Linked DNA regions of Caenorhabditis elegans. The protein of the gene in region 1 interacts with the protein of each later gene in a pairwise test. Each region holds a gene or a part of one and is shown in the gene's direction. Other genes may lie near its edges. The genes, in order: lin-48, unc-62, dro-1 and moe-3.

Evidence for each region.
Region 2: the proteins of lin-48 (region 1) and unc-62 interact in a two-hybrid assay, tested with the Caenorhabditis elegans proteins (one large-scale study listed by BioGRID).
Region 3: the proteins of lin-48 (region 1) and dro-1 interact in a two-hybrid assay, tested with the Caenorhabditis elegans proteins (one large-scale study listed by BioGRID).
Region 4: the proteins of lin-48 (region 1) and moe-3 interact in a two-hybrid assay, tested with the Caenorhabditis elegans proteins (one large-scale study listed by BioGRID).

What each region holds. Positions count from the first base shown.
Region 1 is NC_003281.10:3,743,095-3,748,739, forward strand, and holds lin-48 (Transcription factor ovo-like homolog lin-48), read left to right. Parts: upstream 1-2,343; 5' UTR 2,344-2,366; coding exon 2,367-2,438; intron 2,439-2,486; coding exon 2,487-2,567; intron 2,568-2,744; coding exon 2,745-2,828; intron 2,829-2,878; coding exon 2,879-3,194; intron 3,195-3,586; coding exon 3,587-3,711; intron 3,712-4,033; coding exon 4,034-4,198; 3' UTR 4,199-4,478; downstream 4,479-5,645. Other genes in the region: arcp-1 (ANK_REP_REGION domain-containing protein), read right to left, coding at 4,504-4,599, 5,187-5,606. UniProt on the Caenorhabditis elegans protein: Transcription factor. Involved in development of the hindgut, the male tail, and the excretory duct cell. Involved in modulating function of excretory duct cells. Plays a role in left/right patterning of cell fates in the hindgut.
Region 2 is NC_003283.11:4,495,045-4,501,014, forward strand, and holds the start of unc-62 (Homeobox protein unc-62), read left to right. Parts: upstream 1-2,418; 5' UTR 2,419-2,422; coding exon 2,423-2,545; intron 2,546-4,285; exon of another isoform or gene 4,286-4,751; coding exon of another isoform or gene 4,752-4,763; intron 4,764-5,970. UniProt on the Caenorhabditis elegans protein: Acts redundantly with ceh-20 and ceh-40 to perform overlapping roles during embryogenesis.
Region 3 is NC_003281.10:13,340,459-13,344,702, forward strand, and holds dro-1 (Protein Dr1), read left to right. Parts: upstream 1-2,225; coding exon 2,226-2,642; intron 2,643-2,724; coding exon 2,725-2,862; 3' UTR 2,863-3,149; coding exon of another isoform or gene 3,150-3,204; 3' UTR 3,205-3,254; downstream 3,255-4,244. Other genes in the region: nud-1 (Nuclear migration protein nudC), read left to right, coding at 1,072-1,175, 1,223-2,081; ife-1 (eIF-4F 25 kDa subunit), read left to right, coding at 3,150-3,204, 3,366-3,831, 3,878-4,052.
Region 4 is NC_003280.10:13,159,602-13,168,300, reverse strand, and holds moe-3 (CCCH-type zinc finger protein moe-3), read left to right. Parts: upstream 1-2,567; 5' UTR 2,568-2,645; coding exon 2,646-2,662; intron 2,663-4,079; coding exon 4,080-4,301; intron 4,302-4,843; coding exon 4,844-4,951; intron 4,952-5,276; coding exon 5,277-5,420; intron 5,421-5,688; coding exon 5,689-5,836; intron 5,837-6,118; coding exon 6,119-6,308; intron 6,309-6,378; coding exon 6,379-6,528; intron 6,529-7,506; coding exon 7,507-7,631; 3' UTR 7,632-7,886; downstream 7,887-8,699. Other genes in the region: F32A11.1 (Mitochondrial import inner membrane translocase subunit Tim21), read right to left, coding at 8,206-8,385. UniProt on the Caenorhabditis elegans protein: Zinc-finger protein that may play a role in oocyte maturation and fertility.

The sequences.
Region 1 (5,645 bases):
TCATCGTTGTCTTCAGAAGATCCCACAGTTTCAACACCTCTTTTGTGATGATATAGACGCAGACAGCGTGACGCCCTGATACGGTAGAATGCAAAAAAAAGAAGAGGAAAAAGGTAATCGTTCCGTCTCCTCTCTCAAAATCAAATATACAAACACAAGGGGAGGTCCTATACCGCTGATATTGCGGACCGACTGAAGCGACGCGGGTTTATGTGATACCGTACCCCTTCCTCACCGGTATACAACTGGTTGCATCTTCATTGTTGTGTTTTATTTTGTTTTGGAGAATTGAACAATTTCAGTTATTTCTACGAACTACGAAAATGAGATGAGTCTTATCGCAAAAAAATAAGTAAATTTATTTTCGCGACGAGACCCAAATTTGGGGTTTGTTGCGGGACCTCAATGCGATTTTTCATTAAATTGATATCTGTGTTCTTATCAATGAAAAAAGTTCTTGCGTTCTCAGCCGCCACTATTATCTCACCCTTATCACTTTTTTCCTGATAGATATCAAAAACGACTTTTATGACACTTTTCTCCCGTTACTTGTTAATTAATTTGATATATCGCTGGTATTTGAATTCAGTTTTTTGAACTTTATATTAAATTTGGAAATTTTTAATTGCCGGTAAAAGAGAGTACGGTAGTTGGAAAGTTTTTTTTTCGCTCGTGCCAGGACCCATGGCCGTAATTTTAGGAGAAAAATCACAAAAAGATTGAGAAAACTAGGCCACTCATTAAAAATAAGAATTTTAAGATTTACTGTAACTTAATTTAGTTTTTCTCGCAAAAATATGATAGCCACATTTTTGAGTTCATCGAAAGTTTCAGAGTATCATCTAAATTCCAAGAAAAAACCACTTCGGCACAGTAATACCTGCCTGCATCTAAGACAACCTTCGCCTGCCTTGTGCCTGAATACGTGCCTATTGCCTACCTTGCCTGCTCAGATACATAATGCCAAAGTTCATTCCAACAAGAAGAAGGCGCTAGGCGGCGGCTTGTAGGCATGTAGGCATGTAGACAGGAAAACGCGCCTTTGGAACTTGTTTTCTTTTTTTTTCAGTTTTTTTTTTTGAAAGTTCGTTCTCAAAAAAAAAGCAGAAAAAGAAGAAAACTTCGAAACCCCTTCCCTGAACGATTACGCAATAATCCCCCTCTCTTCCTTTTTCAAAACGGTCTTCATGTCTGCCTACCGTAATCCTCTTGTAGTCACGGCCAACCTGCCTTCTAATCGCCACAAGCTCATCCGTTGCTAAACGTTCCCCCATCTTGGCATTGGGCAACTGTTTCTTCTTCTGGTGCCATACACAATTGTTTTGTTGTTCCTCTCTTTCCAATTGATGCTTCTTCTTCTTCTCTCTAGAAACCGCTTCTCAAGTGCGCCAAGTGCTCATCCGTTTCACCAACACACAAAAGGGAAGAAGGGGGAACTGTAACCGTCTACTAGTTGCCTAATATACTTGTGTCATATATCCTTACAATTATATTAATATATCTACATGTAAGAAGAAGTTTCATGTCCCTTCTTGCATCATTTTTATATTTTCTGGCAATTTGCAGAAATTATTTTGGGGGATTTTTAAAAATTTTCAACAAAAATAAAAATAGTTTTTCAAGTGAACCAAATATTTATCTATGTTTCTAGCTCAAATTTTGAAACAATTCGATTAGGTAATTTTTCTCTCAGATATTTCAGTTTTCCAGCCAAAAACTGAAGATTTTTCTGTCTTACTGAAATTTCCTGTTATAAATGCAACTTTTTCAAAACTATATGCACAAAAAACACAAAAAAATATTTAAAAAAATACAAAATATTTTTTTCGGATTTTTTTTATTGTTGAACTAAAAATGGTTTTGGGAGAGTTTCGTGAAAATTACCCAACTTTTTTTTGTGGTTTAGGTCTAGGCTTAGACTTAAGCTTAGGCTTAAGATTAGGCTCAAGCTAGGGCTTAGGCTCAGGCTTTGCTTTAGGCTCAGTCTTCCAGCGTAGGCTTCAGCTTAGGCATAAGCTTTGGCTTAAGCCTAGGCTTCGGCTTGTGGGAACGCTCAATAGTTTTGTGTACCTCTCCCCTAAACCATCCCAGAAAAATCCTAAATTTCACTTTCGGTTTCATGATTATCCTCTCCCTACCGTGATTTTGTGCTCTCGGAGCCAACACCTCCATATTCCAATTATTCCCGACATCCGAGACATTGTACCTATTATTATCTGGCGCCGAGTATTTGAAATAATTGCCGGATTGGATTTCTTCGGTGATAACACACCCCGCCCCGACTCGGACGCTTCCGCTTGTTGTTCCTTGTTTGGAAAAAATTCCACAAAATCATCACAAAAATTTTCAGCTCTGCTCAATTTCAGATGGATTCACGGGTATGGCTGCCGCTGATTGGAGCGCATTTGCTGCCTCGAGACATTAGTGTTATTACTCAGGTATTTGAGTCTTGATTTCAAAAAAAAAACTTGAAAGTGTGAATTCAGATGATTGCAAATAATAATAATACATCAATTTCGAGAAGTAGCACCAATAGCAGCAAACCCGAAGAGAAGAATTCGAAAAAGGTAGGAATGGAAAGTTGGTGGCCTAGAAAATTAGAAATCTCGGCCATCTTGAAATTTTTATCTAATATTTTTTGTTCTGAAACCGCCTGAAATTATCTTTTTCGTTTTGAACCGCGTAGCCTAGATAGACACATTGGCAGGCACAATACTTATCTACGATGAAAGGAACATTTTCAGTTTCTCATTGAACGATTTCTCGATGATGATCCTTCACCACCAGCATCGATTCTTTCGCCATCACCCAAGGCAGCCATACCCAGTGTAAGACGCTAATCAAGGAAAATTCTAAATTTTTTTTTTCTGATTTTCAGCCAATTATAAATCCAGCAGTGGAGTTTGTAAACGGAGGCTACGGAGTCAAAAACCCCCTGGCTCCGTTGATCAGCTCCTTCGAAACCACCTCAATTCCGTGTTCAACAGTATCTCCTTCATCCCTCATCTCCTCCAGCAAAGACGAGTTCCAAGATTCATTAACCTGTCACATTTGCGGCAAAAAGTTCGGTTTACAACGTCTTCTGAACCGTCACATAAAGTGTCATAGTGACCTGAAACGGTATCTATGCACATTTTGTGGAAAGGGTTTCAACGATACATTCGACTTAAAAAGGCATACCAGAACACATACAGGTACCTCTCAACACTTTAAAGTACTCCTCTACCTCTGCCACCAATTCATAACCACTAATTTGTCGTTCTTCTTACCCTCCGTTGACTTACGGTTGGAAGACAATTGTCTGCGTCTGTTTGTCTAGCACACTGCTTTTTTGTGGGGTGTCATTGAATCCATTGTAGCGAAGCGTAATATTCCACACATTTTCACCGCAAATTGTCGACGATTCTAACTTGATTTACGGTGGAAAATCAAGGGGACCACATTAAAATTGAAACCGACAACACGTTCTGCTCATTTTAATGTATTTCTAAAAAGTTATTTGAATAGAAAATTGTTTAATAATAAATTCAAAAATAAGCAGACAAAGGCAGGCGTGCCTATCTACCTATGACCTTCTGTATTCCAGGCGTCCGTCCCTACAAATGTGAGCAATGCGAGAAGTCGTTCACTCAACGATGCTCCTTGGAATCCCATTTACGGAAAGTTCACGGTGTCACTCATCAATATGCCTACAAAGAGCGTCGTAGTAAGGTGAGTTGACAGAAAGGTATGCATGTCTGCCTACGCCTGCGTGCCTACTCTCAAAGTAGACTCAAACAATAGACAAAATAGAAATAGAAAATAGGCATGTAGGCATGTAGACATGTAGGCATGTAGACATGTAGGCATGTAGGCATGAAGGTACGTAGGCATGTAGGCATGTAGGCATGTAGGCATGTAGGCATGTAGGCATGTAGGCATGTAGGCATGTAGGCATGTAGGCATGTAGGCATGTAGGCATGTAGGCATGTAGGCATCTAGGCATCTAGGCATCTAGGCACACACCGACCGACAATAACTTCTACATTTCCAGGTATTCGTCTGTGAAGATTGTGGTTATACGGACGAAAAGTTCGAAGTCTATCTATCTCACATCAAGGTAGTACACCCCTTCTCGGCCGCCTACCTTCGGTTTACACAGCTTCAGAAAAAGAACTCATCGATGAAACCCGAACAACTTTCCAAGATCTCCCTATAATACTCACCTTTTTTCCTATTTAATTTTTAATTTTTTTTAGAAATTAGCTATTTTCCAAAAATCCTCCAAATCATCGTCATTTCCCCATTTGTTGGTGATCCTTTTTGCACCCCCGTGACTGATTTATTAACCCCAATGACACTATTTTCTCTCCGTCCAAGACCCTTTTCACCCATTTCTGTCTTCTAGATGATTCCATGATGTATTTAACTTATACCAATGACAACAAATTTTCCCAAAAAATGACACATTTTATTGAAATAAAAAAGTTTCTCCTTTTTTTATTCTTAAAAAATGTGTTGAAATCAATGACTTCCATTGTGACGTGGAATTTCTACGACGTATTTTGAGAGCCACTCGGCAATAAATCCAATAGGGTCGGCAGGACGGCGAAGTAGAACCTGAAAAAAAATAAATGCTTAAAATTGCAGCGGACATTTAACGGGTTCAGCATAATCTCTGAAGCGTGCGCGCGAAGTGTCGGCCGCTTTACTAAAGCCTTATGATGTCGGCTGCCAAACACGTTTTCTAGTTGGCACTTAAAATTTGTCAGTTTCTCGAGTAGTCGACATCTCATGGTTTTGTTATAACCCTAATCCTTATTTCCCGCTAGTGAGGTGCCGGCAGTTATACTAAGATGTTTTGAAATTTTGCTGTCAATAAAAAAGAAAGCGGCCGACATCTCCCTGCTTCAAATCCTAGCCCTAACCCATGAAGAGTCGGCTGCTGTACATGAGTGCTGACTTAAAATTTACTGGCGGCCATAAAAATAGAAGCGCCCGACGTCGGCCGGTTATGCTGAACACCTAATGGCTGATCCGTGAGGAGTCGGCTGCTTTGAAAAGTGTCATTCGTACTGGCAAAGAACGTGAAAGCGGCCGACATATCCCGGGTCACCTCTAAATCGTCGGCTGCTATGGCCGACACAACTACGAAACACGGGTCCAGCCCGCGAAACGTCAGCCGCTACTAATTTTACAATACCTACCTCTGCCAGCGCTTTAGTCAAAACAGGCGCCACCGTCCTTGCGAGATATACTCCATTCTCCGACGTTGGCAAATCAATCTTCCCTCTGAACGCCTTCTCAAACCGATGCCTTTCAATACTTTCATCCTCATCATCCAACATACGTGCACTATCAATGAATGACCCTTCACTTCCTGAATCAGGTGTAGCTGGAGAATCAATCAATGGCCCATCCTCTAAATACTCCTCATTTATAGTCTCAAAATCTTCATCCCGATCCTTGATAAGTTTCAAATCAATAACTGCATTCCTTCGGTAATAATCAGGTGTTCTTCCTTCGTTATCAACAGCCATCGGATCGGCTCCAGCTTTTCCAAGAATTTTCAGGTAATGACCTCCATCTCTTGCCGCGGCAGCGTAATGCATTGCAGTTCGCTTATTCTGGAAAAGGATCCAAATTAACTTATTTAGGTCTTTAAA
Region 2 (5,970 bases), on another chromosome or scaffold:
ATTAAGCGGCGTCTCGTTTACAACTTGACATAATGAGGTAAAATAGGGGGCGGTGCACCTGGCTGGGGGGCACACCAACAACGATTCAATCGAAATCTTTTTTTTTGTTGTGTTTCGTTAGCATTTTTGCCCCGGTGCCCACTCCTCCTCCAATTTTTTCGACGGGTTTCTATAGACCCCATCAATCATTTGTATGACTTGTCCGGTGCAAGTCCACGCAATTCTCCTTCCTTTTTTTGCCTCCGTCCCTCACTACCACCACCACCACCACCACCGACGACGAAACGTATCGATTTAAAAGGAGAGGGAAAAAGAGCGTGCGCGCGGGCCGCCCGTTTTTCAAATTTTGTTTCGTGTCCCCCCCCCCCCCCCCACCAACACCGGGCCGGCTGGTCGGTGGTTGTGATGGTGGTGGACACACGGGTTACTGTAGTAGGCATACACATCCCCTGGTACGGTATTTGGGGAGCCAGGCGAGAGAATCGAAATAGAAGCGAAGAGCAGGGGAGCAAGAGCATCGATTGCGATACGATGCGTGGAAGAAAAAACCACTGATAACTTTTTTTTTCGAATAATGTTCGGCGCACGTAGCAAAGAGCACACCGTAAGCTTATCAGTTTATACGTCAGCCTCGTTGAGCAAAGATCTGCCTAGGTTTTTGAGTATGACTATGGAGAAGAAAAAGTAGATCAGATTGGGAAACAAAATGGCAAAACTATGTACAAATGAATCAAATTTTGTTAGCCTCTAAATTAGCTTTTTTTTATTCACTCTATTTTAGAGACTTATATCTAAGTTGTCCTTAGTCTTATTAAAAAATGTTTTACTGTAAAAATGTAGAAAAATATTTGCACAAATTTTGTCAGTTGAAAATTTTTTTTACAAGCCCTAATGGGATCGAGTTATAAGCCGTCAAAGTGGAGCAAAAAGAGGCAAGGCGGATAGAGCAGTAGCTCTTTTGCATAGAAACAGTAGCTATATTGAAAATGGAAAGCTTGTAAAAAATTGGTTTAAAAATTTGTTAGCCTCATAATTTTGGCCTTTAATTTAGGCCTTTGATTAATCTTTTGAGCTGAGCCTATTACTCTAGAATTTTTGAAACAACTCAATTCTGTCAATTCAAGCAACAAAAGCACCACACGCTACCTTCCAGGAAATCTGAAATCTATAGGTTAATCTTCTTCCCGTGTCTACCATGTTACCAAACAAAGAAAAACAGTCTGAAACTTTATCCCACTTGACACCTCCTACCCCTCCTCTTCCATATGATCCTAATCTTAATCCCCTTAGAACAAAAGGCGACGTTAATAAAGTGCAGCTGGAGTATAAGTAGATGAGGGAAACGGGGGATGTGGTGCATTGAAGGGAAAAAATGTTGAAACTTTTGTATTTTAATGTTAGCATCTCTATGTCTCTACTCTCTGATTATTGATAAGGAAAATGTGTCAAAAAATGACTGTGCTCTCTGGAAGAGGCGAAAGGTTGCGATATTTTATTACATTCATAGGTGCACATTTAGTTGACAATCTGGAAAGTGTAGTTTCAGAAGGATCTTGTTTAATTAATTAATTTTTTGTGGAAACTTGGAAATAGCTGACTAGGTTTGGTAGAGCTTTTTTGATTCCTGATAATGAATTTGAAAAATTAGGACATTGTCCGCAATTTCCTTAGTAGGCTTGCACCCGTCTTGCTCCACTTTAACAGCTTCTATCTCAGCTCTCTTTGATTTTATCAGAAAAATTTTAACTGACAAAATATGCGCAAAATGTTTTTCTATATTTTACCAGTTAAACATTTTTTGATCCAATCAAAAGCAACAGAGATATAGGCCGTCAAAATAGTTTCTCACATTTTCGGTGGAGCAAATTTCTTTCAGAAACCGAACTCACTTTTAGATTTTTTTTTAATTTCCAAACTAGTCACATTTCCTCAGCTCATGCTCATTCACATGACAAAAAACTTCCGGTGAAACTGGCGGTATAATGAAACTTTTTTTTCAGTCTCATACCGTACATTACATAAACCTTATCAAATAAAAAGAAACTAGTTCCAATCTTCATTCTTTCCACTTTATTTTTCCTTAGCACTTACATTTTTTTTGTTCGAATTTCAAAAATATAATGAGAACAGCTTTGTGCACCTAGTGGGGGCAAAAACGAACAAAAGCAATTTATCTTCAATGCGGAGGACATTGGACACAGGACAGCAGCATGTAAACTTGAATTTGCCCTCCTGGTTCATCTCTTGCGGAGCCTATTTATTATTTTTTTTTTCGAATCCATCCCTTTTTTTTTGGTGTGCTTTTTGTGCTTTCGGGCCACGAGGACCCATCTGCTGTTGCTCACGCACAGACTCTTTTGATAAATGATAATGAGTTTCACGTTTTCTTTTTCAAAATTTAATATTTCTCTCTTGCAGGAACATGAGCGGCGACTCAAAAGTGTGGGCTCACGCGTCCGCTGACACTTGGGCTGTTCAAAATGGAATTTCGACGTACGATTTGGACACGTCGAGCATCAAACGAGAGAAGCGGGATCACAATGAGGTAAAATTTAAGAATTGGTTGTTGTTTTAATTTGCGACTAAATTTCCTAATTAAATTGATTTCTGAAAATTGAAAAAATTTTTGCCGATTAAAAAATTCTTTAGGATCTTCACATTGTAGTTTAAGAAATTCAAAAATCAATTTTTAGAATTAAAAATAATTTTATAAATCGAGCTTTGAAGGGTTTTGTATTGTCTGAAACTTCAAAACTTTTGGAATTTCGGAAAAAAAAATGAAAAAAATGTTCAAAATGAACTGTAATTTTTCAGTTCTGTTACGATAAAATGCTTTCAGAAAATTGATAAAATCTATAAAATCAAAATTGTAAAAATTTTAGAGTTTCGAAATTGGTTTTTCATTGAAATATAAATTTCAAGAAACCGGGAAAAAATATTGTAATATTTCGCAAAAATTTGAAACATCACATTAAAGGCACACATTGTTTTTTTTTCTGAGTTGGTCTCGCCACAGGAGCTAAATTCAACAGATTTTTTTTCATTTGACATAGGAAAACAAATTTCAAATTCGGAAATCCACTAAAAATTCAGAATTTATTATGAAAAAAGTATATTAAAGGTGGAATAGCGCCAGTGGGAATTTTGTCTAAATACACTTATAATGATCCAAAACGACCGAATATTATAATAAAACACCCCACAAAATTTTAGCTTTTTCATAATTTCCGTTCAAACTTTTGCCAAATTGCCAAATTTTTGAAAAATATGAGCTTTCGAGGAAATCCAAAGCAATGTCGCATGTTTCGCCCCCTACAATGTTTCAACACGAATAATTAAAATAAGCTTAAAGTGTAAAAAATGTAGGAAAAAACTTTTTTTGGTCGACTTCCAAAATTATGAGTAACAAAAACTGAGTAATTGTCACTTTTTGACCGCAAATAAAAAAATTTAAGAAAATTTTTGATTGTTTTGATGTTTTTGTTTGATGTGTTTGTTTGATGATGTTTTATTACGATATTCGGTCATTTTGGGACCATAGGAGTGGTTTTTAACAATTTCCCCATTGGCGCTACTCCACCTTCAACAACTACCATAAAAATCTAAGAACATATTTTTTGGGTTTACAACCTACCAGTTAAAGTTCATAGAGCTAGTTCCACACATCCACGATATAATATGCAATTTAACAGCCGATGATCCGATTATCAATATCAACAGCATAAAAGCAATAACAAAATCCTGATAATTTTCACACAAATTGTCCGCCGCTTTTATCTTTTCTCTCCTCATTCTTCTTCGTCTCATCATCGCTCCCCCCCCCCCCCCCCCCCCCCCCACCGACCGATTTATCTCTTTTAATCACATTAATCATGTGTTTCTTATCGAGGGTGGAAAATTGGAAAATTGATAGGCGACATGGAATTTGGCTGCCAAGAATCGGGTACTACTTGGTAGAAAATGTAAATTTGTGTTAGCTGGAAAACCTGAGGTCCCCCACACTTGACTTTTTGCCTCGTCTCGCTAAAACAAAAAAAAGAGGAAAATGCAATGCATGTATTTTTTCGTCGTCGTCGTCGTCGTCGTTTTCTTCGTGTTTGACTTCTTCTACTCCTCTCCAAATTTGCCTTCTCACCCTCCTCTCACACCCGGGGTCTACTGTACCGAATTGAGTGCCTATTGGCGCAATAGGGCGGGGCCCCGGCGCATCGCTCTCTCTCTCACTCACTCCTTCTCTCGAGGGGGGCTAACAGGGGAAAATAGACTGAGAGAGAGAGGAGAAGGCAAGCGAGTCGATCTGCCCCCCGGTTGCCCGTTTCTCTCTCTTTCGGTGGTTTCTCGTATTTTTCCCCCACCAGGGAGAGTCAGAGAGAGGGAGCCCCGCCCACATTCACCCCACCAACCCTCCCCCCAACGATCGGACAAGATTGACATACAACCGTTTTGAAGTGTGTGAGAAGTTGTCATTTTCGATATTCATCTGTCTGTCATATTATTTACGTTCGTTCCATCATCATCGACATCACACGCAGGGCAGAGAAGAACACACGCCGCCACCGCCGGCCCATCAAATCGGCACACTAATCAATCGATCAACGAGAGAAGAAGAAGAAGGGGCGGGCGACAAGCTCTGACCATCATCGTGTGTGTGACAGACTGACTGACTGACACCCCGTTGTGGAAAGAGTTTTCGATCCCGACACGACCATCGTTCATCTTATTCAGCAAGGCCCCGTGTGTCGGCAACGACGATGGCGCAGAGGGTACTTCTTCTTCTTCTTCTCCTTCATTCCGTTTCCCCTCTGCTTCTTCTGACTTTGACATGATACCAGAAAGAGCGCCATCCCTTTTTCCTTTTCTCCTCTATAATTTATCGTTGTGTTGGGTGGTGGCTCGAGCTCATTCTTGGGTTTCCAATCAGCCATTGCGCCCCCCACCGCGCCGTCGCTGTCGCTTTTTTCCCGCTTTCTAGATCTCAAAATTGCAATTTTTAGGTGTTCGCCTTGTTTTAAGCGCTGGTTAGTTACAATATAGTTTCCCAAGCTTCAGAATATAGAAAAACTTGACCCCAAATACCTCGAAAAGTCGTATCTCTGCTCATCTCTAGAAAATCAGTGAATATAATACTTTAAAACTATAGTTCTAGAAAAAACAAATATTTTGTCAGCTTAGAACTTTTTGTTTTAACTGAAAATTACAATGAGCTGCCAAATTGAAGCTACGGTCTGCAAGACTAACAGTTGCACCCCATCGTCCAACTTTGACAGCTTATATCTCAGTTTTCGTTCATCCTATATAAAAATTGTCAACTGGCAAAATCCGTATTATTTCTTTTTCTATAATTTTGTAGTTGACTATTTATTTATATCTTCTAATTGAACCGTGATATAACTTTTCAAAGTGAGGTAGTGAGGTGGAATACTATCGACTTTTGCAAATCGTTAAAATAACACCAGTGAATATTTCAAAATATAAGTACTTATATTAAGCCCCTCATTCTTAAATTTTTCCTTGCATCGATTAGTTTTAGTTTTAGTTTCCGAAGCCAACACAAGAATCACAAATAGTTTTACGATCTTACCGACAGTATCACTTTTTCTCGGGAATCATTTGAAAAAAGATAAGAAAATGTCCCAAATTCCACCCCTTTTCCCCGTCTTCCCCGCTGACTAATAAAACCCATTAAAATGATTTTGATGAGCTTGGGCTACTGCTTAGAAAAAATGCCTATGACCACCACCACCAATGGTTCCAAAAAGTGTCAAAAAATTGGCCTCTTTAGTTATCAATACAATTTATCAATTAATCAATTTGAGAGACAAGACACAGAAAAAAGAAAAAAGAAAAAAAAATAGGAAAGCGTGGTTTCAATTTCTCACTTTATCCTTCCACCGTTATCCCCGTTCACATCTTCTTTTACCCGAATCGGGGGGCCGAGAAGATTTATTTCGTCAAAAAATCCGCCTATCA
Region 3 (4,244 bases), 9.6 Mb from region 1:
ATAATAATTATTATTAAATTATTATTAAAAAAAGTGTGTCAACATCTATTTTAATTATGTTAACTACTAAACATAAATAAAATGCGTATTTTTTTGCAAGAAAGAAAAAAAGGCCGCGTAAAAAGGGAGACACAAATAGTGTTCTAACTAGATTCTCAACGCGATGCGTAGTCTAATATGAACGCAGACATACAAACAAAAACGAGAGGTGACCTCGTTTCCAATCTAATTAGCCATGCTAGCGTGTACTGAAGTGTCGAACGTCTAATTAGAAAAAAGCAATTAAGCATACGTAATGGCTTTTCTGTCTTTTTTGGAATAATTTGTAAATGGAAAAGTGAACTTAATCAATATTTAAGTTGGATTTATTATCAATAGAAAGTTTCAAAATGGAAAAGGTCTCGAAAAATCCAATTTCTAAGCGTGTGCATTTTTCTCTTTGATTAGCACCATCTGTTCTTCAATTAGACCCGTTTTTCTCTTTAACGGGAGAAATAGTAATGCACTAGGTAACTTATTGCTTTTTTTTTCTGAAAATTACTTTGAATTCAAATTTGAATTTTTAAATTTCAAATCAAACTACTGTAGCATCGAGTTTCGCGTCAGCACGAGAGTTGCGCCAGTCGCCGCGCCAAGGCGCCTAGAAAAAACGGCGCTCGCAATTTATTTTCAATTTTACACATTTTCTCTCCTAATTTATCGATTTTGCGGGATTTCGCACAGATTTTCTTTGATTTTTCAACTATTCTCATTGTCCCAGAAATATAATTGAGCATTATGAGCCACCTGCTTTCCCCAGGCACTTGCAGTATCCATGGGAACATGGCGAAAATAGGATTTACCAGAAATTTCGAAATAACTCAATTTTTCTAGTGATATTTGTCAAAATAAATGGTTTTCTAGTTTGTAAAATAAGTTTTTAACTAGATTAAGTAGAATTTGTCCTGTAATTATTGCGAAATAACTATGTTTCTTGATTTTAGGCTCTATTTTCAATAATTCCGGATTTCCTAATGTTTTTCTTCGTTTTGGAAGTAGTTTTTATTAATTAATATATTTAAATTTCAGAAAATGTCTCAATATGAGCGATTCGACTCGGTGCTGCTCTCCATGGCCCAACAGCTGAGCGGCGGAGTGCCTGAAATGCTTGATGTACTATTTGAATTTCTTTCGAGGTAAGAAATTTTTTCAAAGTGCTTAATAAATACATGTTTTGTTTCAGAAAGACGGATTTCTACAGTGGCGCTGGTGTCGATCAAGCCCGGACCCTTCTCCTCGAAAAATTCGATAAACACGGTGGAAAGGCTATGAAGGAAGCTGAAGAAGCCAAGAAACGGAAGGAAGAGCAGGAGAGGAAGCTTGCTGAACGAAGAGCTGCACAAAAAGCTAAGGAAGAGGAAGAGTTCCGAAATGCGAAAGTCGTGGAAGTCACTGATGAGGAAGCGGCCGCGTTTGAAAAGGAACAGGCTAAAAATTCTGTTGAAAATCTTGAAAAATTCGTCGATAACGAAGGAGAAACATCGAAAGACGCTGAAGTCGAAGATGAGGACAGTAAGCTCATGAAACCAAATAGTGGAAATGGTGCGGATCTTGCCAAATATCAATGGACTCAAACACTCCAAGAACTCGAGGTGAAGATTCCAATTGCTGCTGGATTTGCTATCAAATCTCGTGACGTTGTCGTCAAAATAGAGAAGACTTCAGTATCTGTCGGCCTGAAGAATCAAGCTCCGATTGTCGATGGAAAGTTGCCTCACGCCATTAAAGTAGAAAATTGCAACTGGGTAATCGAAAACGGGAAAGCGATTGTCCTAACTCTCGAGAAGATCAATGATATGGAATGGTGGAATCGATTCCTTGATTCCGATCCTCCAATCAATACTAAGGAAGTGAAGCCAGAGAACTCGAAATTGAGCGACTTGGATGGAGAGACACGTGCCATGGTCGAAAAGATGATGTATGATCAGAGGCAGAAGGAGATGGGTCTTCCAACGTCTGATGAGAAGAAAAAGCATGATATGCTGCAACAGTTCATGAAACAGCATCCTGAAATGGACTTCAGCAATGCTAAAATTGGATAATTCTGTGAATTTTGTGAGATTTGTTCCGAAAATATTATATTTATATTCGCATAAATGTACTCAGTTTGATATTAATTTTATTTCATCTTTAAACTTTTAATAATGTATTTCTCATTCCTTATATCTCTTTTAGATCCCTTAAAAATGCAGTGCTTCAACACAATTTTCAGACTCTTCACAGATATGGATGAGGACAATGAAATCGGACTTCCACAGAAAGGTATCAACCAAATTATCAAAGAAGTTGTTCCTGAAATGCGAATCGCCAACGAGTCGAGAGATATGATCAATGCTTGCTGCGTTGAGTTCGTGAAGCATATTGCGAGAGAAGCACAACGAATTGCGAGCCAGGATCAGAGAAAAACAATATATCACGAACATGTTCAGAAGGCACTGCAGAATTTAGGATTCACACCAGATTATCTCGAGGCCGCCGACAGTGTTCTCGATGCCTGCAAGGTTGAAGCCGAGAAGAAGCTGCGAAGGAAGAACTCTCGTCTTGAAAAATGTGGTATTCCAGAGGAAAAATTGTACGAAATGCAACAAGAATTAATTCAGAAGGTAATTTTTTGAGGTTTTCAAAAATAATTTTGTTTTTATAAAACAAACACTCATTTCCTCAATGTTAATATTTATTTTACAGGCACGCCAACAAGAAATTGAGCAGCAGCTTGCTCACCAACAAGCACAAGCCGCGGCGGTAGCAGCCGCAAACGCACAAATGTTTGGAGGACCATCAGAGGGCTCTTTGGCTCCAACCGACGATGACTACGACAACTAGATTGTTTTTCTTCGCTTTTTTTTTCTACGGGTTCTCATTTTATTTCTTCATTTGTGTATTTACCTTGATTCATCATCGATAATTTCTAAATCTCTTTTTAAAATTGTTGTACTATATTCCACCATTTCCTATTTTCCCCGTGAATTTTTTTACTGACCCGCTCCATATTTCAATGGCACGTCATTTAGGGCACGATTAGTTGGCGTTTTCCCCAGTTGTTCTCGGCTTCTCAGATCAGTCCTGTTTTTGCCTTGCCAGTTGTCGAGGTGCGAAAATTTTAAGCGCAAATGTCAGATTCTGAAATAGCATTTGAGAAGCTGAAAATCTCTGGGGAGAAAGAAGGTGAGCCATTCCCTTTTTCATTATCGTTTGAGTACTATAAATTATTCACAAAAAAACTGTTTCTCGCCGTTTTGCATCACTTTTTTGGTTCCACGTGCCCATTTTTATTTGCATTCATTTATTCTCTCTGTTTACTGATTTTACTAATCGAGTTCTTCCAGGTATGACTGAAACGGAGCAAACGACGGCACCCATTTATCCGCTGAAGCGTAACTGGACGTGGTGGTATTTGAACGATGAGCGCAACAAGTCTTGGGAGGATCGTCTGAAGAAGGTGTACACCTTCAACACCGTCTCGGAGTTCTGGGCTCTCTACGATGCTATCCGTCCACCAAGTGGCCTCAACGCGTTGTGCGATTACAACGTTTTCCGTGACGATATTCAGCCGATGTGGGAGGTTCCGGAAAACTCGAACGGAGGACGCTGGCTCATCGTCATTGACAAGGGAAAGACTCCCGAAATGGTCGATGCTATTTGGCTGGAGATTCTCATGGCTTTGGTCGGCGAGCAATTCGGAAAGGACATGGAGTCGATTTGTGGGTTGGTGTGCAACGTCAGAGGAAAAGGATCGAAGATCAGCGTCTGGACTAAGGATTGCAACGATGATGAAACCAACATGAGGATTGGGTATGCATGTCTATTTTTAATTCTATCTTGAATTTTGGAATTTCAGAGTTGTGCTGAAGGAGAAGCTGATGGCCGCATCCAAGGACCACTCAAAGCCACTGTTCGATGTGATCCGCTACGAAGATCATGAGAGCTGCCAGAAGAAGACCAGCTCGGTTGTGAAAGCCAAGCTTTCATTGCACTCGTCCGATGCTCCAGTCGCCGAGAAATCCGCCGTCTAAAGCAGACCATTTTGTATCTGCTCTACTTGTTTTTTAATTACACCCGTTGCTTGGCTAGTATTTCACTCGTTGTTTTGTGATTGGTTTAATAAAATTGATGAAAATTAATTGTATTATATTGCCTTGTGGTTTCCAGGCCCAATTTTGTATCTTATTGTAGTGTAGAATGTAGCCTTTAGGTCAGAGAACAAG
Region 4 (8,699 bases), on another chromosome or scaffold:
GAATGCATCATATGTATATTGGCGGAAAAAAACAACAAAATTTGATAAAAAATGTTATACTTGGTCAAAAAACTTTTAAATAAATTTTTTTGTTGCTACCCGAATTTTCTGGAACTCACTAGAAATCATGCCGACTGAGAAATTAAAAAAAAAATAAATCGAAAGCTGAAAATCTGCCATGCCAGCACTCCCTTCCAAGTTCCAAAAACGGACAATTTTTTGAACCAATTTAAAAAAAGCGTTACATATTCATGCCATCACTTCTCTTTTTTTTCATTCGCATCTTCTCCATCTTGATCCAGAGAGGGGCAAGTCGATGCCGTTTCGTGTTTGTTGTATTGCCAATTGATCCTAATCGCATTGATGCAATAGTCTGGCATTGCTTCTTCTTCTTTCGGCAAAACCTTTTCATTTAGTCCGGTTCCACACGGGCCTCCTTTTTTGCCCTTTTTGCTTTAATTTTTCACTTTTTATAATGCGTGTGTGTGTGTATATCTTTTCGCTTGCCCCTCTAATACTCACTTTTGCGCATCACCATCTTTTCACTCATTACAGTGGATTTCTGAAAGAAATGGAAACGCATGTTACACTCACACCTTTCGCTAGCGTCTTCATCTCTGAATCCTTTCGTTTTCGGTCACTCAGCAAACATGTTACCTCTCTCTCTTTCTTTCTCTGTCTTTTTCTGTTCCATTTGTTACGCAATCGGAATAGAAAAGCAGTTCCAAACTGCCCGTTCTTACCCGCCCTTCCAAGTTTTCTCTCAATCATTTCCCCTTCGATTGCCTAATCTTCCAGTTTGGCTTCTTCATTTTCCCTTAACAATTTAGAATCACATTTTTCTGAGCTTCATCTAATATTTAAATTTGTGCCAAGCGTTCCTACATTGCAAATCAATTGTGTCTTTTTAGGCTCTAGCTTCAAATTTGAGCTCAGGAACAGCTGATCCATAGTTTTTAGTTTGGATCAAAACCTTCAAAACTTGTGTCTTATAAGGCGTAGGTTTGAGGTAGGCAAAAATATAGTTTTCACTTGATTTGGAGAAACTGAAAATTCTCAAAAATGTTCGTCGAATTTTATTCCGACAATTTTCAACTTACCGACAATTTTGGTGCATGTTTTCAATCTGGATTCAGTTGTTTTAAATATTTAAAATACAAGTTAATGTCTGACAAAGCAAATATAGTTATATGTATTTTTTTTTCAATTTTAATGACAAATATTGGGAGAAAATGCCACGCTAGCTCATTTTTTAGAATTTTTGGACACAAAAACATCAAAAAATTTTTGTAGAGACAATGCATATTTTACACGACCACAGCCACAGTACCCGCAAGTATTCTGATATGTATTTTGAACAATTATTCGATATTTTATGTGTTTGCAAAATTTTCCAAAAAATTGAAGCTTCTGAGTTTTAAATAGTGTCAAAAACAGGCAAGACAATTTCGAATCACTTGTAGGTGCGGTAACTGCAAATTTCAAGTTGTTTCGTAATCCGTACCAGGGGTGGGCAGCAAACGATCCGGCAAATCGGCAAACCGGCAAATTGCCGAAATTGGAAATTTCCGGCAAACCGGCAAATTGACGATTTGCAGAATTTGCCAAAAATTTTTTGCCCTTTTTTTTTTGGAAATTTCAGAACTTCAATTTCAGACAGCCGAATTAAGCACATCCTATGAATATTCCTACATTTATTTCAATAAGTAAGCAAATTCTGTTAAAATAACTAGAAAAAACGGGAAAAATTCAAAATGGCACAGTTTTAAGTGTTTACGTCCTGTAAATAATCCCTCTAGACATTTCCGGCAAATCTGATATCCGGCAAACGGCAAATCGGCAATTTGCCGAAAATGAAAATTTCCGGTAAATCGGCAAACCGGCAATTTGCCGATTTGTCGAATTTGTCGACAAATCAATTTGCCGAACCGCAATTGCCGCCCAGCCCTGATTCTATCGCATTTATTTTTGTGTCAAAAAGCAGAAAACTCCGCAACTGGGTAATTTTATATTTTATAGGGCTCCTAAACATCTTAAAGTTCTTTCAACTGGGGTTTTTGTAGGGAGCATCGCAGAATTTTGAAAATACTGGATTTTAAAATCATGTTTCTCCCTGTTCTATTACTTTTAACTGATATACCCCCTGATCCAATGATCTCCAATCAACTGATCGCAATCACATGCCCCCTCCGAACTAGCGGACACATGAATAAAAATCAGCTGTTAAGTCCATGTCGAACCCCTCGTATCTTGTGTAATAGACTGCTCACAATTCTTTTTTGTTCTTATCACCATCACATGAATTGTCATTTCTCGAGACCGGTTCTTCGCTTCTCTGCGTCTCTCGATCTCTCGCCTTATTTTCAGACCGTGTTTTTTACTTTCAAATTTCAGTTCATTTCAACTTCCCCTCTAAGTACATAACCTCTTCAAATATCAAATATTTTGTGTGTCATAGTTATGTTTAATCTTCTCTCATTTTCACTGTTCTCTCATTCTCGTTTATCCGCAACTGACCCTGAAATTTTTGTGCCCGCCGTGTTTTTCACGAATTTCACAGTTTTCAGGGGTATTGGCTGACCGCGACACATTCATCCCGTTTTTCAGATTTTTTACATATTTAATCAAGTCAGGGAAGGCGCACGATGAGCAAGGTGAAAGGGTGAGATTTTTGACGATACTTTTAGAATTTTCGAGGCTAAAATACAAATTTCCGGCAAATCGGCAAACCGGCGAATTGCTGAATTTGCCGAATTTGCCGGAAAAACGGCTTTGAAAGCTTTTTGGAAATTTTAGAATTTAAATTTTAATCGGCAAAATACTACGACTATTTTAAAAAGTAAGCAAATTCTATGAAAATATCTAAAGAAAATCGCGGAAATAATAAACATTTCTGCCGGAAATGAAAAATTCCGGCAAATCGGCAATTGTCGAAAATTTCCGGCAAATTGTGGTTTTGCACGGTTTTTTTGTTGGAAATTTCGGAATTTCAATTTTAATAGACAAAATTGCACGCATCAAAAAATCAAGGTTTTAAGTGTTTTCGTCTTATAAAAAAATCCCTTTAAACATTTTCGGCAAATCTGATATCCGGCAAGCGACAAACCGGCAAATTACCGGAATTGAAAATCTCCGTCAAAAAAAATGTGCCGACAAAAAAATTGCCGAACGGCAATTGGCCGCCTCTGTACATATATATCGACTAATTATTAAAGAAATATGAAAACATAAGAAATAGATGAAGAATTTGTCTAGTTAATAGGTAGGGAAGTAGGCACGTAGGTTTTTTGTGCCTACATGCCTATATGCATAGTGCATAGGGACAGAAAATCTGAAGTTCTAAAAAAATGCTTAAAAACTTGATTAAAAAGTGTATGATTTTGTGCCTACACAGAAAATTTGACTTTGTTTTTTTTTGTTTAATTCCAAACGCGTAAAGCTTTCAAAAATATTTGTTCTGAATATTATCCTTGCTGAAAACACTTTAAAATATATATTAAAGCTTCCTTAAAAGTTTAGTTGAAACCTCCATTTATTAAAAAAAAGTTTTAAAAAAGTTCATAACTTATTCAGTTGGTGTTCCATTGTGACATGGCTATATATTCTTGTCAAGAATATGTATATCTAATTAATAATTTTATTACCACAAAAAATTCCCTTCAAAAGTGTAAGCTGGAGCAATTTGAAAATGTGCAATTTTTAGAAATTTTTAATTTTAAAAGTCAAAGCAAAATTTTAAATAAAATTTTCATAATTGATATTAAATCAGTTTTTGTGCAATTTGTTAAAAGGTTTAATTGAAATTATTGATGCACTATATTTTACGTGTCACATTTTTTACAGCTAAAGCTGTAATTTTGAAAAAGCTTGATAAGTCTAACTAGTGAGATTAAGTGCACTATTTGTGAACAGAAGAGATAAATAAATATCCTGTTCGTTATCACTCGAACGGTTTTATCAGCCGAGATATAGTGGACAGAACAGTGACAACGCCAAAAACTGGCAATAATGATACTTCCTCCCCTCCCCATCCCAACTTTTTTGGATTATTTCATACCCACAACTTATTTATTTTCCAGAGATCTCGAAAAGTCTGACAAGCGTCCACCATCGTCCATGTCAACTGGTTCAGCTGACAGTGGTGTATTCTCATCGGGAGTTCATGCTTCATCACCTAGTCATAGTCAAGGATCATCATCGCAGAGTGGGCCACCGAGTCCTACTACTCAGTTGAACTCGTTGCTTTTTGAAACTGCTAACCTGATTGCGGTGAATGAGCAATTGAGAAAGGAAATTGCAGAGTTAGTTTTATTTTGTTGCTTGGCTCCAGTTTCTTGCGCAAGTTTTGCCCGAAAAAATTAACTTGGAATTTCGGCAATTGCCGGTTTTGGAAATTTTCGGCATTTGGCAATTCTGTGCAATTGCCGGTTTTAGAAATTATCGGCAATATTGGCAATTTCTGCATTTGCCAGTTTTAGAAATTCTCGGCAATCGGAAACTGCAGGTTTTGGATATTTTCGGCAATTGGCAATTTTGACAATAGCCGGTTCAAAAATTACATTACTTTGAGCTTGAAAAAAAAAAAGTTCATTAAAGTGCATGTTTAAGGTCCGGCAGTTCTGATTTCCGAAAACCGGCAATTCTGACGATTGCCGGTTTCGGGAGTTTTCTGCAATCGGCAAATTTGGCAGTTGCCGAAATTGCCGAAAGCAGAATTGGGCCAAATTTCGGTTAAACTTTGGGCCTAAATGTCTTGCCCAACTGTTGCCCAAGTTAACTTTTTTGTGCCAAATTTGGGCAAGAAGCTATGTTTGAAACCTAAACACCAAACACTGTTTTTCAGAAACAAGCAAATCCAGACGAACCAGATGCGAGCACTCAGATACTCCTCAAATCCAGTCGATCAGCCATTTGTAGCGAATTCGATATCACCACATCACGGGTTTCCACAGTGAGTTTTAATTATTCAAATTGTTAAACCAAAAGAAATTCAAAATCTTTTTGATTTGGAAAAAATGTGAAAAAACCAAATCAAAAACCATTGAAAAAATTCAAAGATAACGTACCAAGTTTCAACGCATGTATCTAAACTATTTTTTGTGATATCAAAAAGTTTTTAACTGCACTAATGTAGCTGATAATGTGATAAATATTTTTGTAGTTGAAAATGCTTTCATAGCGCTTAAAATAACTAAGATGTAAGGTGTCAAAGTAGTGGAAAATTTCCACAAAAAAAAACCATTTTTAGAGTTTCTCCTAATAATTACATTTTCCAGACGCCCCCCTCGCGGCGAACGGCGGATGCAAAAGCCCGAATCTTACAAGACGGTCATTTGTCAGGCATGGCTCGAGTCGAAAACATGCACTTTTGCTGAAAATTGCCGATTTGCACATGGAGAGGAAGAGCTGCGCCCGGCGAAGTGAGTTTTCAAAATTTTTGCGCATAACTTTTGGCGCAGGGGTGGACAATTTGCCGATTTGCCGGAAATTTCAATTCCGGCAATTTGCCGATTTTCGGAAAAATTCAATTCCGGAATTTTATCGATTTGCCGGAATTTCTATTCCGGCAATTTGCCGATTTGCCGGAAATTTCAATTCCGGCAGTTTACCGATTTGCCGGAAATTTCAACTCCTGCAATTTGCCGCTTTGCCTGAAATTTGACGCGCAAAAACCCTGAATATTTTCAGACTGGAATCACGACAAAACAACAAGTACAAGACGAAACTTTGTGACAAGTACACTACCACTGGACTATGCCCCTATGGCAAACGGTGTCTTTTTATTCATCCCGATAATCAGCCAAATGCATATATCAGAGCTGATAAGCTTTATGAGGTTAGTGATGGAGAGGTGGCCTAGAAAATTCAAGTCGGCTATCTTTTGAAACTAAAATGTATTATCTAGACTAGAAATTTTGGATTTTTTGCCCAAAATTGCGGTACCCGGTCTCGACACGACAATTTTTACTAGATTTTGAAACTACACTATTCTTTAAAGGCGCACACCTTATTGTATATTTGCTTCACCAACAAAAATATTTCGCGTCGAGACCAAGTACCGTACCTATGCCGCAAAAATCGCAAATTCCTGTAATTATTCAAAAACTCCAATTTTCAGGTCTCGCAGCGCCACGCACTCGCAGATTTACGGGATCACGTGGAATCACAGATTATGACAGGAAATACGAGAAACTCGTATAATCAACAGCCGCCACCGATGGGCGGTCTAGAAATGCAATCTTCACCGATGAAATCGAGTTCTGACTCCAGTCATATGCGTTCTCCAATGGCTCAGATGAATTGTGAAAGTGAGTTTTTTAAAATAATTTTTTAGAAAAAAAACAAGTTTCAATAAATTCCTTGAAATTTTTTTTTCAGCCACGCGTCCTCACCCTAGCTGGCCGTTGGAATCTTCGTCCTTTTTCTTGCCACCCGAAATGTCTTCAATCAATAATAATAATTTGATGAGCCCATTTGAGACGCCATTTCCCAACGGCTCCACGGGAATTCAACCACATTTTGTGACAGGTTAGATTTATGGGATATTACGGGAACACAAAATTCTGAGAATGCGTATTGCGCAACATATTTGACGCGCAAAGTATCTCGTAGCGAAAACTACAGTAATTCTCTAAATGACTACTGCAGCGCTTGTGTCGATTTACAGGGCACAGTCTCCTCCAGTGGAAATTTTGGTTTGTTGGCGCACTTCTCGTGCATCGCGTGCAAAATTGAGAAATTTCCGAAAACGTTCAATTTACTGTTTTTCTTCATATTTTTCATAACATAAGCTTTGGTGGAAGATTACTTTTCAAATGAACATCAAATTCCACTAGAAAAATGATGAAAAATATACGAAATATGAGAAAAACTCAATTTTTAGCGGTTTTTTCTTTTTATATCAGCGCTTTTATTTTTGAACCAAAATCAAAAATCTTTTTTTTTCCACCTTGCCCTTAATTAGCTTTACAATTGATACGTAATTAAAAAGTTTGAAATCGATTTTAAACCCGTGAAAACTGAAGGAAATCACTTTTCAACGGTAAAATTTTCCCACGCTCACGAGAAACGCGCAAGCCCCCTTGTTGGGTCATTTCCAGGAGGCTGTGCAGGGCTCTAGATTTTTGAAAAGAAATTCATTTCGAAAATCGAGCGCTACAGTAGTCATTTAAAGGATTACTGTAGTTTTCGCTGCGAGATATTTTGCGCGTCAAATATGTTGTGCAATACGCATTCTCCGAATTCTGTGTTCCCGTAATAAATTATTCCCCCATTTTTGTGTGAAATTTGTAATTTTTCTTGAAAAAACTTGTGAGCTTGAATTTCTCAAACTTGCGCGTCAAATACGAGGTACTAGGTGCAGTGAACCACAGAATCCGAATACTGTGCAAACACCGACACAAAGCGTCATATTTCACTCGCAAATTTGAAAGATCAATAATGGTTTTTTTTTTCGTGGAAAAAACACAAATTTCAATTTAAAATTAAAAAATTCCGAATTTTCAGCAAAACGGAGAGCAGCCTTTCCTCCAGTGCCTTCCAATTTCCAACAAGACGATGATAATATGTCATCAATTCCAGGATTCGACCATCTTGCAGAGGATATGGCTAAACATCTTGAATTGTGGTGACATTTTTCAGTTTTTTTTTAATTTGAAATTTGTTTGTCTTCCTTGTCTGTGAGTATTGTTCAACGATTAGTTACTAATAATATTTGAGTAGCAAGTGGTCCTAAATCCTTTTTTTTAAAGATTTTTAAATTTATAATAAAAATGGGACCACCTGATACACATCTCACTAATATTTTTTTCGCTTCTTTTTTTGAAAATTTTTTATCTCCTAATATTAATTATTTTTATTGCTCCCCCTAAATAAAGTTTTAATTTTATTTCACACAAGGGATAATACACGTTGCAAAAAGCGCAAAATCCTAAGCTTCTTTCTCTAAAAATTTTGGATGAGGTTGGTTCTTTTCTTTTTTTTTGGGAGGGAGAAACGGAATAAAACCGGAATATGGAGCAAAAAAGAGACGGGAAAAACGAAATTGATGCATACTGACTACGAAAATCAAAAAGAAAAGGCATCTAGAAAGTCGTGTGAACAATTCTGAAACAGGCAAATGTACAATTGAACGGGGACTTTTTGCAAAAAAAAAATTTGAAGGAATAAGTGAGTATTTTCGATCGAGATGCTCCGCACAGCTGCTCACTTTCCGATCCGTTGGCGGACCTTGTTGTACTTGTCCGTGAGCCGGTCCACTCCTGACGCGAATCGTCGATAGCCATTTTGCATGTGAGCAGCAATCGCCAAGACTACGTAATAGGTCTGTTGAGTCAACTTCACTCCGTAGAGAATCACGTCTTTTGTCACGTTGTAGAGCAGAACCTGAATAAAAACTGTTTTGTTTTTGAATTCAAAAATTTATCCAGAAATTTGTGCGAATTTAAGGTTTTGAAGAAATAGTATTATTTAGGGCTATAAATTCTGCTATTTCTGCGCAAAATATTACGGTATCCGGTCTCGACACGAAATATTTTCTTGAAGCGCGGAGGAAAGGTGTGCCGCTTCAAAGTGTACTGTAGTTTCAATATTTCAATGTTGCAGAATTTTTATCGACTTTTTATAGTTTTTTCCACGATTTGTCAACTCCTAATGTTTTTTCTTGTTATATTTGAGTTTTTTAATTAAAAATAATTTTT